Linked DNA regions of Lonchura striata. The protein of the gene in region 1 purifies or fractionates together with the protein of each later gene. This does not show direct contact. Links are inferred from orthologs where the notes say so. Each region holds a gene or a part of one and is shown on either strand. Other genes may lie near its edges.

Evidence for each region.
Region 2: the proteins of SLC31A1 (region 1) and USP32 purify together in Homo sapiens (co-immunoprecipitation; 3 studies listed by BioGRID and IntAct, with this or other methods). This does not show direct contact. The link is inferred for Lonchura striata from reciprocal best matches to the Homo sapiens genes SLC31A1 and USP32.

The regions. Positions count from the first base shown.
Region 1 is NC_134624.1:4,672,532-4,679,840, reverse strand, and holds the start of SLC31A1 (high affinity copper uptake protein 1), read right to left. Parts: upstream 3,247-7,309; 5' UTR 2,905-3,246; coding exon 2,863-2,904; intron 2,791-2,862; exon of another isoform or gene 2,052-2,790; intron 1-2,051. Other genes in the region: FKBP15 (FK506-binding protein 15), read left to right, coding at 4,190-4,242, 5,352-5,461, 5,763-5,847, 6,399-6,468.
Region 2 is NC_134622.1:9,920,562-9,928,600, reverse strand, and holds the start of USP32 (ubiquitin carboxyl-terminal hydrolase 32), read right to left. Parts: upstream 3,063-8,039; 5' UTR 3,000-3,062; coding exon 2,942-2,999; intron 1-2,941. UniProt on the Homo sapiens protein: Deubiquitinase that can remove conjugated ubiquitin from target proteins, such as RAB7A and LAMTOR1.

The DNA.
Region 1 (7,309 bases):
AAGATAGGAACTGATAGCACAGGGAAGAAAAGACAATGGGAAATTACATAAAAAACTGTAGAAATAAAAAAGCAAAACTAAAAGAGAGCTATTTCATCACAACCTCCCACTTCTACATTGGCTTCTAAACCAGGAAAGTCTAATTCCAGGACCAACAAATGAAAGGCTTTAGAAAGTACAATAAAATAGGAGTTTAATTTGTTTACAGTAGCTAGTTCCATTATTCTCTGCATTAGCAGATTTCAGCTTTCAGATGAAAAAAAGGTTAATGAAAAAAATCACTGGCATCATGTTCTCCAGGACCTGATTGGGAACATTTCCAGAAAATTAGATTGAAACAAAAGGCAATGGAGTAGATTAACTAAGATTGAATTTTCCAGATAAAAACAGCATAAAACAGTCTTTTTCCCTAAGAAAAAATTGCCAAGACTCCCAGTGATTTCCTGGCAGACTTGTGGAGTTCATGCTGGCAATGTGCTTCAGCTCAACTTCCCAAAATTCTGCTGCAGGCTCCTGCTAACTTTCAGGTGACCTTCAGGCCAGAGCAGGGAAGGCAGCTCTGCAGAGCCATGGCAGCTTTCTGTTGGGTAGAGGAGTCTTCACAGCAAATAGAGAAACCAAGGAGGAAAGGAGAAAATAGCTCATTTTAGTTCAAAGAACAAAAAGTTCTGTCTTCTCTTGGACATAATGTCTGACTGGAAAACAAGCCAGCTGAAAGGAAACTCCTCAGGGCCCTGCTCAAAACTTACCCTGTGAACACGGTAGATTTTGTCATTTACTTGTAATATAAAACTAACAAAGATTATACTCAATGACCTCCCTTCTCAGGCATTAAGCTTTTGTTCAAGGATACAGGGTCTCACTAATCCAAATCTTGAAGTTACATTGTGAAGGGAAAAGTGAAGTGAAAAATCCCCCCAAACCTCTTTCCAAAACAAAAAACAAACAAACCCCTCCCCCCCACAAACTTTGTCCTTGTACCACTGCAAGTCAGAATCAGTGGCAGAGATGATACCTTTAAAATAAAAAAGTGCAAAAGTGACTTGGAAAGGTGATTTAATTCCTCCTCTCTACTGGCAGAAATTATCCTAATTCTCAGCTTAGTTAAGAATCTGGCCTAGATGAGAAATCTGATATGAAATGAAAAGCAACCAAATCTCATTAGGATATGGTTGTACAAAATTCCTCCATTCTCACCACAAAGTTGTGTGGGAGCCTGCAACTCCTGCTAGTTCTTATATTTTCAGTACCTTGTTTTTTGGGGGGAGGACAACAAATGAAGCAAAACCCTGCTTATTGCAACAATTTTTGTCTTTGTAGCAAAAAGCATAATTTTGTATTGTACAGCAGAGCAGTCACATCTTCACCAATAAATCCTTAATACAAAACCAATCTTCATTTAAACAGCAACATTCACACATTATTCCCAGTGCCCCCTTTTTAATGAAGGATGGGGAAAAAATAGTGCTGAGTCCAAAGCTTGATGAATGCCTCAGGAAATGACATCATAAATTACAGGATTTGGGATTATTAACTTAAAGGCTAATTTACCCTATCAGATCCCATATTGTTACTCATGAAAAATCCTGCAAAAGCTTTACTGACCTCAGGCTCAAATAGAGGCAAGTTAAGATCAAACAGACTAAAAATCAACTTAATAAACACTTGTGAGGAGTGTTTCATCCACCTGGGCAAAAAAAAAAAAAAGCAGGACTAAGCATTCTGGAGCTTGGAATTTGGGCACAAACAGGATGAATTGGCCTCTGCCTGGGAACTGTGTGCAACCACAAGCCCACTGCACACTCAAATACAGATGAGGACTATGAACAAAGTTTAAATTAAAAAAAGATGAGTGGATAAGATGCGATGCTTGCTGAGTGCTGCAGATTGTGCTGCTACAGCCTCTTCCCAACCACTGGCATTAAAACTGGCCAGTGCTGAATCCCAGGAAAAAAAATAGAGAATATACACAGGTATAACACTGGGCTAGGAAGGTGGTGAAGGCACTAGGATTGGTTCATCCTGAAGGGGAAACTGAGCTCAGAACTCACCAGGGTTTGCAGCTCCTCTTGAGGGGCAGCTCCAAGCTCTGCTCGTCCTGAGGGAATGGAATCAGGTTAACCCAGGTCAGGCTGGAGCTCAGGGAAAGGTTCTTCCCCCAGAGGTGCTGGCACTGCCCAGGCTGCCCAGGGAATGGGCACGGCCCCGAGGCTGCCAGAGCTCCAGGAGCCTTTGGCCAGCGCTGCCAGGGATGCCCAGGGTGGGATTTTGGGGGTCTGGGCAGGGACAGGGGCTGCAATGGGTGATCCTGATGAGTCCTTTCCAGCTCAAGATATTCTGTGATACTTGTACCTAAAAAACCTAAATTGAAGTGCCACACCGGGACTTAGCCACGTGGGTCTTCACCACTTAAAACTACCTTAACAACCAGCCAGATACAAATACAGGAGCCAAAGCAACAAACTCTCTTCATCCAAGGGACTGCATTTCATGCCCACCTGCCTTACCAAGGGCCTTACCAAGGTCAGGACAATCTCATGCCACTGGGAATTTACACCAAATTATTGTGGGTTTGGTTTTGGATTTTTAACAGAGATAAGATTCTAACCCTATCCAGGTTTCACTCTAAATTCATCACACATTCTGCAATATAAAAGCTGTGTAACACTCCCCTTTATCTTCTCCCTTTAGAAGTGGAATTACTGATATCTCAATCATTGCAATAAAACTCCTGAATTACTGCGAACTCAGCTCCACAACAGACCGGGCAACTTCCTGTTCAGACTGAAATATCCAGTCAGTAACCGACAGAACAAACTTCCAACCAGTGCCAGCAAATACCCAACGCCAGGAAATACCAACCCTTAGTGCCATTCTGACCTCCTGCACATTGCTCTTCTGCATTTCAACATCATTTGGATCTCAGGCGAAATTAAAGCCAGTCGGTCTCACAAAGCACATAGAGATACCAGCTTTCCAAGAGAGGGAAAACACAGGAAAACCACAACACACCACAAAAAACTCATTAAACAAACAAAAAAAAAAGGTGTATATCTCAAGGTACGAGGTGAACGTGGGAAACTGCTTCAGAGGGGCGGCTCAGACGTTTATCCACACAATAAACGATGCCGGTGCTAAGAACACAGCGCATGGCTGGTGCCCGTGGGTATCCCAGAGACAGCGAAGCTGGAGCACAGCGGCGCCCGGGTGCCCGCAGCCCTTCCGCCCGAGCCCGCCGACCCGCAGGGCCCTCAGCGGAGCCCGCGGGCCCTGTGCTCAGCCCGGAGCGCCGGCGGGCCACGGCTCCTCGCGGCAAGGGCAGCGGGGCCCGCCTTGGAGCCGGAGGGCCGGGCTGGGCGCTCCTCCCGGGGAGCGCAGCCCGCTCCCACAGCGAGCTCGCCCCGCGCCTCCACCTTCACGTCCCAGGGCTCCCATCCGCTCGGGCCCCTGGGCCGCCCCGGCCCGGGGTGCCACGGCCCGCCCTGAGGGGATGGGGGGCGGCCGTGGGCCCCTCAGGCGGGATGGCGGGACGGGGGGCACCACCTTCCCCCCCAGCCCACCCGTCACTCACCGCGCCAGCGCCACCAGCCGCGGCCTTGCCCCGCCCCTCCGGCCAAGCCCCGCCCCCGCGGCCAAGCCCCGCCCCCGCGGCCAAGCCCCGCCCCTCCGGCCAAGCCCCGCCCCTCCGGCCAAGCCCCGCCCCTCCGGCCAAGCCCCGCCCCTCCGGCCAAGCCCCGCCCCTCCGGCCAAGCCCCGCCCCTCCGGCCAAGCCCCGCCCCTCCGGACAAGCCCCGCCCCTCCGGCCAAGCCCCGCCCCCGCGGCCCTGCCCCGCCCCTCCCGGCAGCCCCGCCCCCGCGGCCAAGCCCCGCCCCTCCGGCCAAGCCCCGCCCCCGCGGCCCTGCCCCGCCCCTCCGGCCAAGCCCCGCCCCTCCGGCCAAGCCCCGCCCCTCCCGGCAGCCCCGTCTCGCCCTCCGCCGTGCCCGACAAGCCCCGCCCCTTTGATGTGTCCATGCAGCTCCGCCCGTCACGTCAAGCCCCGCCCCTCAGCGCCGCTAAGCCACGCCTCCACCCGCACCCCCGCCCCGAAGCCCCGCCCCGTGACGTCCCGCCCAGGCCCCGCCCCCGCGCCGGTGCCGCCGGGCCGTGAAGCGCCGCCGCCGCCCGTGCCCGCCCCGGCGGCCGCCGGCCATGTTCGCGGCGGCGGAGGAGGACGACGCCGATTTCCTGTCCCCGGCCAGCGGGTGAGCGCCGGGGGCGCGGCGGGAGCCGCTCCTCGCCGCCGGGTGGGCGCGGCGGCCCGGGCAGGCCGCGGGGCCGTGACCCGGTGAAGGCCCGCGGCCCCGGTGAGGGCGGGCAGGCCGCCCCTGCCCAGCCGGGGCTGCCTCTGTGCCGGGGGTGCGGCCGGGCCGTGCCCCGCTCCGTCCCGCTGCGGGAGCGCCGTACTCGCAGCCCAGAAGGGTCCGGCTGGCGGCGCGGCTCGGAGCGGCCCCGCTGTGCCCGGGGCGGCGGGTTCGAGACCCGGCCTGGGGGCTCCGCTTTGCTCGGGGACCCCTCCCCTGGGAGCCTCCGGGGTCGCCAGGGCGGAGAGCTCGGTGTTTGCGCTTGAATGAGGCGTGGGGGAAGCGGTTTGGGGCCGCTCTCCGCCGCTGGCTCCTCCCGGGCTACCCGCGCGGTTCCGCCGGGATCCAGGGTTTTGTATCGCTGACTTGCTGCCGCTCCAGCAGTTCCACTCCCCGCCCCCTTCCAGGAGCTTTCCTTATAAACTAATCGTCTCTCTTTATAGAAAGTTCAGTTGTGTTTCAAAGGAGATTCACTGGCAGTGGTGGCATCCTTTGTTTGAATTATTCCCTTGCCCCGTGATATCAGGAATAGGTTGAGCATAACTGGCCTTGAAGCTGTGAAATTTCAAACAATGTATCCTGAAGGAATAACCTCCAGCATTAAACCCTCTGTCCTTAGCTGGGAGAGTGTCTCCCATTTTAAAAGTTAATGGAAGAATGTGTTGCCTGGACATTTAAAGACAAAAGACTCCAGGACCTGAATGGTGGTTTCTCTGTCAAATATTATTTTGGGTATTGTAAGACTCAACTATTTCATATCAAGCTACTTCTAGTCATTGCTTCAAAGTAACTTCTTTTTTTGTGTAGTTTCAGTTCTTACACCTTCAGTCGATTTTTGAGGAAATGAAACACAATTGTGTCACTTTCCCAACCTCTTCATCTACAAGTTCTGCCTATTCAAAATTAAATGGTTAATTAGCATAAAGCAACTTAACCTGCAGCCCTTTGTTTACTTCCAAAGTATAATGCCCATGTTAAATAAGGCTAAATGGTTTTATTTCCCTCTCTAGAGCCAGATTAGCCTCTCTCTTTGGCCTGGATCAAACAGTCTCAAGCCAGGGAAATGAATTCTTCCAGTTCACTGCACCAAAGCAGCCCAAGAAGGGTCAGACAGCAGCTGGTGAGTAACTGGGCTTGAGTATGGGGAACACAGTCAGCAGCACATGTGTGTGGGGAGAACAGAGGCCCTGGTGAAGAGCATGAGAGCAAATAATTTCCTGAGCTTTCCTCAGGGATCTTTTCCTCCAGTGCCCTCCTACACCTGGATTTTCAGCTGCCCTTGGGTGACTTTGGAACACAAGTCTTTGTTTCTTTGTAATTTCCTACTGGAGTTGTTTTTCCCTGGGGGAAGGAAGGTGTTGTGGTGGTGCCAGCAGCCAGTCCTGTGCCTCTGACAGCTGTCCCTGTCTCTGTCCCCACAGGCCAGCCCCAGAAGGCTCCAGTGGCCCCGGCAGCCTCAGGAGCCCCCTCGGTGCTGGTGGCCACCGCGGTGCTCGCGTATCGATAGTGAGTGACTTCTGCTGCAGTCTGTGTCCCTCATCCCACAGGGGAGATATCCCTGGATAAATGGGAAGAGACAGTTGTTTTCAGACATATCTGCATGGTGGGAATGCTGCAAGGCAATGGCAGTTCTGCTCAAGAAAACTTCAGTTGCTGAGCTGCAGCTCTGGGTGAAGAGGTTCTGAGATAAAGAGCGAGCTGTGGGTTTGCCTGTGGCTGGGAGCTGTGTCCTGGCTGCTGGGCTGAGATGTGCAGTGCTTCAGGAGGCTCTGTCAGATCCTTGTGGTTCATGCACTTGAGAATTGAGGCATGAGCAGAATGAGAGAGAGCACTATAACTGTTTGGTGCTGCCATGATGGAAAAACACTTCTGCCCTGGATCTGTGAGGGCAGTTTTCAACTCACTGCACAGCGTGTGCTCTTGCCTGTGGGCGAGCAGGAATGTCTCTAAGCTAAGCAAGACTGCCTGACATTTCATACTTGAGGAAAGGGATCTGAACTCTAAAGAATTCTGAGTTAGGGACAGTCGTGCAGCTGAATGTCTCCCTTATCTTTCAGTACAAATGGGCAGTACTTGAAGCAAGGCAAGTACGGAGCAGCTGTAGTGGGGAACCATGCCACCAAAGAGGTGAGAGACACTTCCTTCCCTAACTCTGCCATGCTGAGGGCTCACTGCTATGAGATGGTGTTTTTGTGAGCTCTCCAGGTGTTTTGCTTTTGATGTTGTTCTCCTGCTGCCTTTCTGCCTTCTGGGTTTTCTTGGGGCTCAGCCACCCACCTTGGTGATATCTCTTTTTCCTGCAGTCTGTGAGTTTGTAAAATCCCTTACAACTTGTGCCTAAAATAGTTTGCAGTGTTTCTGGAAGTCATTCTGGTATTTATTCCAAATGTCTTTGACAACTGGATCATGTATTTGTGCACATGGAAATGGATACAAAGGAAAATTCTGTCCAGCAGTACAGAGATGCTTTGCTTAAGTTTTATTCTTTTGGTATAAAAAACATCTTTCCTTCCCAAGTGTTTGGAAGAACAAAGAGCTGAGGTGCCCAGTAAAGTGGTGTGTTTGAAAGTTGATTTTAAAACTCTCACCCATCCCTGGTGTTGGTATTTGTGATGTTTCATATCCCCCAAGTCCTCGTTCATGTCTCACTAAGGTGCTTCTGCTTTGGCAAGAACAAAATAAATCTTAGTTTGGTAACTAAATTCCTGAGTCAGTGATATGGGAAGTGTTGAGCTCTGTTGTTCTGGGGGAGCTGGGGAGGACAGGCAGTGCAGGAGGAAGCTGAACCAGCTTTCTTCAGGCTGCCTGTGTGATATCACATCTGGCTGGGGGCAGTCAGTGGGTCACTCCCCATTCACCACTGAGCTGTGTCCAGTGCAGGTGCACAAAGGAAATCACATTTTCATAATAGATTATGTTTTGTAGAGCCAAATATGTCAATAAATCTCATATCTGTGCTGTTTAGTAC
Region 2 (8,039 bases), on another chromosome or scaffold:
AATACAGGAGCTAATACAATAGTGATAAAAAGTTCTTCTTTTTAGAAAGTTTTATTGGCCCAAAAGACATTCCTTTGAGGAGCTGGGTGTCAAGACTGGCAGCAGGAGAAGTAAAAGATAAGGCAGGCTTTAGAGCACCATCTCCTTGGCAAGGCCAGAGCAGCCAGACAGCCTGATGGACACAGTGGTAGGAGAGGAGTGGGAAATCAGGAATAAATATTGGAAAATCCCACCAAAACAGGACACTGGCTGACTTGCAGCACTGTCATAGGCAGAAAATTGCTGTTGGAGCTTAGGTCTGAGAAGAAAGCAACAAGCTCGAGAGCCACAGTACCAGTTCATGCCACCACAAATTCAGCTTGATAAAATAACTGACAATTTTATGCTCAGTTTGGAACAAAGCACTTCTGACTTCACCTCTAATGACCTGCCCAAGGATTTCATCTCCTCACAAAGAATCCATCCTCAGAAGGAGGTCTGTGGGGTCAGGAATAGCTCTGCTCACTTCTCATCTCATACCTTTTTCCACAGCAACACCACTTTGTGCCTCTGGCTACTATAAATAAGATGACCACAATTGGCAAAACTCATAAAAAGAGATGTCTAAAATAGCATCCCTTGCCTTCCACTGCCAGGCTGCACAGGCAGACACAGATCTCAGGGAGGCTGATGAGACTCCTGTGACCTGCACTGGTGGACACAAGACAACTTCACCGTGCCCATCCACACGGCCACGTCACCACAGCAGTGTCAGCTGCCTGTGCCAAGGAAAGAGAGGAAAATAAAACAGCAGGACTGTCTCCTGTTCAAGGGTGGAAAAGGCCATCAGCACCAGGCCGCTCTGGCACTTTCATCTCCTTGAACAGAAGTTACATTTTAGCTACAGTTATTTATATTGTGAGCCTTTAACCACACCTTCACAACCTTTGGTTACTACCAAAATGGGATTGCAATAAATGAAACTGCTTAAAAGTCAGCCTTATTTTCTGAAGCTGACAAAAGCAGCATTTTCCCCCGATATTCTGAGCAACTGAAATTCAAAGTGGTGACTCAAAAATACGATCACAGCATTCTGAATGATTACCACAAGTACAGGTAACCGGTACTGATTACTTATAAAGAATTCCCAGCAGAAAAACCTGTACAAATAATACCACCTAATACAAAACTTTCTTGCCATTTAAGAACCAGGAAACAATGTTAGAGAAGGTGGATCTAATTGGAGATAAATACATTTGGCTTTTTTTTTTAACATTTACCTTTATCCATTATCTCTGTTTGTGTCCACAGAAATGCCACAAGTACCAGCAAGGTTCTGTGGAAGTAGGAATGGTCTAACAAATAATGTTTTGATAACTGGCCTGTTTTATACATACAGTGATTCACTGGTTAAGCAAATAACATAGTTATTTAGCAAAACATCAATTTATAACAGAGTGCCTAAAACAATCTTTCTGGTCTCCTACAGAAAAACAGTATTGAATGTCTCATATAGAGAAGAAAAACATCCAAAAAAAAACACCAAAGAAAAGTATTATATTCACTGCGCAGAAATAATTTCTTATTAAGAAGAAATCAATCTTATTACTTATGAAGCATCCAGATCAATTGCCTTGATTTTGAAACACTGTAAGAGTTTAAATATAACTTTAAAATTCCAAACACTTGTTTTTTCTTATTTAGGAACTTTGGAATATACATCGTGACCCAATGACTGTATTCTCCACCAAACAGCTTATTTCAAACACTTCCTGATATATTTAACTTCACACCTCTACCAAGCTGCATTTATAACTCCAGCTCTTCTAAAAATACGTGCACCAAAGCTTTCAAAGACTTCCTATACTTTCACTAGCAGTGAAAATCCTTCAGGGCTGTTATGTTTAAAATCTGTAACAAGTTACTTTGAATCATACGTTTGTTTCTCCTGCTTGACACTACGTTGCTCCATTTCCTATCTGACATGGCATCCCTCAGAGGCTCCACCAGAAAAAAAAAATAGAAAATATATAACAAAAACCCCATTTCACGTCCATTTGTTTCTTTTTCAGTTAACACCCAGTAGTTCCTCCCAGTTCTCCCTTATCACTCCTGACATGCCTCTCACATGCAAGCAGGAATAAAAAGGGCAGCCATAGATTAGCTTGTGCTTATGAATTTTATCAGGGCTTTAAATATCAAACAGGTGAGCTGCTTTACCTGCGCTGCATCACGTGAACGCACAATAGGGCAACAATTACCAACACCTGTCCTCCCTGCAAACCATTTACTGCTGACAATTCCTATCCCTCTTTGTCCTTGGACTTGGCTATCAGTTCCAGAACCAGGGAGCTTCCAGGGTGTAGCTTGCCGTCGCCTTGGAGCCCTGCAGCTGCAAGCATTCAGGATTCAAGCTTGTTTATGTTTTCCCTTGGCTAGTTCCTCTTTAAATCCTCCGGGAGGACCCTCAGCCGGGCTAAAGCAGCGACAGCGAGCCCGAGCCACGCACGCCACATTCATCTCGCCATGCGGAGCTGCAGATGCGCGATCCCCGAGCACGGCGAAGTAAACACGAGGAGCGGCAGGGCCGGCAGAGCCGGGAGCTGTGTGACAGCCCTGTCACACCGGGGGGATGGCAGCGCTTCCCGGTTCATCCAGCCTTGCCCGCGCACGGCCGGAGGCCGGGCCGAGGGACGGTACCCGGCGGCGGGGACCGGGCCCTGCCGGGGCCGCGTTCAAGGAGGAGAGACGGACAGGTAAATAAATAGATAAGGCAGACAAATAAATAAATAAATAAATAAGCGGCGGGGTGGAGCGGGGAAGGAGCCCCCCGAACGGCGCAAGTGCCCCCGCGCGGGGTCCGCCATGGAGGCGCCGCCTCACCGCCCGCTGCCGGGGGGCAGCGCGCGGCCCCGCGCCCCCTCCCCGCCGCCCTCCACCCAGCCCTCCCCCGCCGCCTCACCCCTCCGCAGGGCCTCGTCGTAGCCGAGGAAGCCGATGCGGGACTCCTTGGCGCCCATGGCTGCCTGCTCAGTCCATGGCCGCGGCGGCGCCCGGCGGAGCCGCTACCGACGGGGGCGGGGGGGCGGGGCCGCCCGGGGGGGCGGGGGGAGGAGGCGGCGGCCGCGCGCCCGCCCCGCCGCCGCCGCCGCAGCCTCCATCGCCGGCCGGCGTCACGTGGCGGCGGGGGGGGCGCGCGCCGCGTCACGTGCGGCGCGGGGAGGCCGGGGCGGGGCTGTGATTGGCTGACGCCGACCCCCCGCTCTTCCCTCCTCTCACCCCCCCTCCCCGGACGGCGCCGCGCGTCCCCTCAGGGGCGGCTGAGGGGCAGCGGCGGTCGGGGCTCCTCGGCCCCGGGCTCGCTCCTCGGCCCCGGGCTCCCTCCTCGGCCCCGGGCTCCCTCCTCGGCCCCGGGCTCGCTCCTCGGCCGCAGAGGAAGGGAGCTGTGAAGAGGAAAGGATTTTGCTCTGCCCCGGCACAGGGGTGTCGCTTGCGAAAGATGTCAGCGCTTCCTGTAAGCGTGCACCGGAGAGAGGAGAGAGGCTGCGGTGCCACCGGGCTCCCGGCGGAACGGCCTCAGGCTCGCTCCTGTGGGAGGGTGGGAGTCGCAGCGCCCTCAAAGTGCGCAGGGAATAGCTCCTCAATCCCCTCGGTCCTGACAGGGGATCAGCCCCTCCTAAACCTCGCAGGGATCAGCCCCTCAATGCCCTCAAACCGCACAGGGGGTCAGCCCCCCAAAACCTGACACGGGTCATCCCCTCAGTGCCCTCAAACTACACAGGGAGTAGCCCATCGATCCTCCCAGGGGATCAGCCCCCCAAAACCTGACAGGGGTCATCTCCTCAATGCCCTCAAACCGCACAGGGTATGAGCCCCCCAAAACCTGACAGGGGATCATCCCCTCAGTGCCCTCAAACTACACAGGGAACAGCTCCTTGATCCTCTCCACCCTCACAGGGGATCAGCCCTCAGCCCCCTCGATCTTCACAGGGATCAGCCCTCAGCCCCCTCAAACCGCACAGGGAACAGCCTCTCAATCCCCAATCCTCACAGGGAACAGCCCTTCAGCCTCCCAAAACCTCACAGGATCATCCCCTCAATGTCCTCAAACTGCATAGGGAACCAGCTCCTCAACACCCAAAAAACTCGTAGGGGATCAGCCCCTCAGCCCCCTCAAACCTCTCAGGCCACGGTGGTTCTCCTCAAAAAGTCCTCTAAGTCACAGGGCTGCAGGCATGGGGTGACAGTAGGAGGTTCCTGTTCCATTAAAATGTCTTTTCACTGTCTGAAACAGAAACACGGGCTGAATTGTAAAAAGATCAAAACCACCCCTGCCCTTTGCTGTTCTCCAGCGTGTTTGCTTTTAGTATTCAGCCCGGGACTGACACAGAATGGGAGGATTTCCAAAATGGCTTTGTTACAACATTAAGCCTGGTAACCTACCCTGGGTCACTCCCGAGCAGAAAATAAGGAGTTTGAAAGAAAACACTGATTTCTAAGGGCAGCTTGTTCCAAGAATTGTTCCTGTGCTGAAACAAAGCCTGTGAAAACACCAGTTGCAAGTCATTCCCTAAGTTACTGTTTCCACACAGAATGATCTTGCCACATCAGGCTGCAGAAAGGTCAAGCCGGAGTTGCTGTCTCACTGATGTAAGTTCATGCGTAGGTATTTTTACAGCAAACATTCCAAACAAATTTCATATCTGATATGCAAAGCCAGGAATGCTGCTTACAGAGACACGGGCTCCAAGGCCAAATTTCTCCTCCTGTAACCCAAGAGCAAACACACTACAAGTGAAATAAGCTCCATAAAGCTTCCTTTTATCTTTTCTGAACTGTTTTTTATCTTAGATTTGTGGCATATTAAAAAAAAAAAAAAAAGTATCATTTTCAGGAATAAAATCTGCCACAAAGACACCTTTTACCTCTCTTATGTGGATGAGGGGGAGATTTAAGTTATTTTTAAAAATATAAATTAAATTGGTGGAAATATACTTCACTCATCAGCCACTGGTTATGTACTTATCATTTAAAGAGTAAAGGTAAATGTAATGTCAGTTAGCTAAGAATAAGAAGAAATAAGCACCCTTAACACACACACACACACACACACACACACACACACATATATATATATATATATATATATATATATATATATATTCTTATTCCTGCCCTACCTTTACATATCTCTTCTTAACATAGTTCCTTCACCAAGCAGCTTTCAGTTTAGATACAAAATAAACTTTAGAGCATTTGAGAATTAATTCAACAAGCATGGCAACATGTCAATCAAAAGCATAAGCTGGCAATACCAGCAACAGCTGGAGAAATATGGTTTATCTTGTGATTAAGTGAAATATTCCATGGTCTCCCTAAAGCCATGCTCTGTTTGTGATGGATCCCTTTTTCTTAAAGTATTAACTCTCACCCGAGGAGATGGGGTTTAATTCCTGGCTTGTCTGTCGTGTTCCTGTGTGACCTCACATCCAGGAATAATATTTTAATGTTTTGGTTTCTGCTCTGAATTACAAAGATAATGACCAAACCCCATTTTGCCTGGAACGAGCAGCACTGGGACACAGCCAGCCCCAAACTGGCAAAGCAGTTAGAGAAAGCAATTAAAGAAGGAAGCAGCTTCAGTGGTGGGGTAAGCAGCTCCACACCAATTCCTGCTGGTTTTCAGGCCAGTTTCTCCATGACTGTTTATCCTCAGGCTCTTACTAGAGAGCAACAGCCAACCCCTGAGTACCAAGGCTCACCAGAGACCTGACACAACACTGCCAGGCCTGTTTTGTCTACACCCAGCAGTGAGGGACCCTGCCAGGACAACTCTGACCCGATGCCTCTGCAGCCACCACAGTTTGAAAAATTATTCCATTTTTATCTGTGATGTCAAGACAGAACCTCTGCTTACAGTTCACACAAACCCCACTCTCAGGTAGTAGAGATTATCAGGCAGTATAGGGGGTTTAATGACAGCAAAATAATGAAAAAAATTAATGACTGAAATTATAATTACAAATCAGCCACCAGCTTATAGTCACAAACAGCTGACTGGGTATTTGGTGCAAATGAGGAAGCAGAACCCTCTAGCAAGGAGTTCCTTCCACTGTGGGAAGGAAAAGGGATTGGAGTGATAGTTCTTAATAATGGTTAACATTTCCTATTAACCAAAAAAACCCAGACCTCTTTCCAAAGAACATGTATGTCACTTAAGAAAAACCCAACTAAAGTGGTATCCCTCATGTCTCGGAGGTACAGGCGGTGTCCAAGAACCAGCTGAATTTTGTTTGAAGAGCACTTCAAAATCATTTACTGGATCCATTGTACACACAGTGGCCTGCACCAAATTTAATCACAAAGATACTCTGGATTGGAAAGCCAGGCTGGAGGCTCCCGATGGCAGTGCCTTTGTTCAGATTAAATTAAGCATGTTCTCAAAGGCACTGAAGCAAGAACCCAGAGATAAGGCTGTGTGTGCTAACCCTGGATTAGATCTGGCAGTAAGTTTTTACTGAAGCCTTATTGGGGAGCACAAGATTAGATGTTGCTGCTATTTAAATGCTGTGTCAAAGGTAAATCAAATTAAGATACTGAGAATTTAAACTTACATTAGATGAATTGAGCTCCTGTCTTGCCATGGAGAAGTGCTACGTATGCAAATCAAACTGGGCACGTGTCCTTTGGATTGCTGGAATTTATTTAATTATTCGCTAATCAAAAACTAATTCACAAGCACTTAGCAAATATCTTTAAGTGTCTCTGCATCACTGTCAAGGATCTGAGCAAAGCAGGTATTTACTGCTGCACAGGAGCAGCGGGAGCCTGGCAGCACAGCAGCTGTCGGGCTCTGCCAGGGCTGCTGCAGTCCAAGGCTGCAGGGAAAAATCCACAGCCTCCAGCTCTGCTCAGCCCACAGCAGGCAGCTGCAAGGAGAAGGGGTTTGGAGCCCTGCTGGAAAGGCCTGAACTCAAAAGGGACGAGCCAAACAACAGAGAAACTGCTGCAGTGACTCAAAAACACTTCTGAGAAGAGCACTGTAAGGCCTTAGGATTTCCTGATTCATGTTCACTAAAACAAATGCAACTTTGTTGTCAGCCTCTAAATCGGTGCCTCTTTCCCCAATACCCGTCTCCCCACCCTGGGATATTGTTCAGTTTTAAAGGACTCTTCTTAGCACTGGAAAAACACAGGACAACTTTTACCCCTTCCTGCTTCAGACAATCCTGACAGGAGTGTGGCAGAGCACATCTCAAATATTTGAGAAGAGTAGAAAGCGGGGGAGAGAACAAGATGCAATAAGAGGATTCAATCAGGTCTGCAGTGGTCAGAGCTAAATGGTTTCATATCTAATTACAGTGAACTGGTGAATGAGAAAAATACCCCGAATCATTATCTACCAGTCTGATTCTGATGTTATCAGAGAGGACATACAGAAGGCTTCCTCAAAGAACAACAGAACAATATTCAAATTGAAACTTCTATCACATCCCACATTTTCTAGGAAACAAGTGGCTTAGAGTGGATGATAGATTTATATGAACTTTGGGGGAAGTAAAAGGAGCAGAGTCTTAGCAGGTCCCTCTATTGTTGTCATGTAAACTGTACTCCCACACTATTGCCAGTATGAACTTTGTAGTGGAATACTGCAGGGGAAAATGAAAAATTTAATTAAAAAAAATTAAAATGAAATTAAAGTCTCTTGTTGAAGACACTTGTTAATGAAGGCAGTGCTCACCAGAGCTGCAGTGTGGTGTAGCCAGGGGACTCTCGGCGTGAGATGATTGAGGCTTTTTCCCTCATTTCCAGTTTGAGGGCATTTCTCTTTTCACACCTGCCCTAGAGATCCCCTCTTCCCAGTACTCTCATGACTTTTTGGAGCAGCTGCCCATCTCCACCCCTGCCCCAACAGCCAGGCCCTTGCCCTGGCATCATCCCCTGCTGCTTCCCGGCAGCAGCGGACACCTCATCCCCTCCTTTTTCCTGGTGAGTTCCAAGCGGGGCGGGAACACGGGAGGGAACAGCGCGTCCCTCTGTCCCAGAGGGCTGAGCTCTAG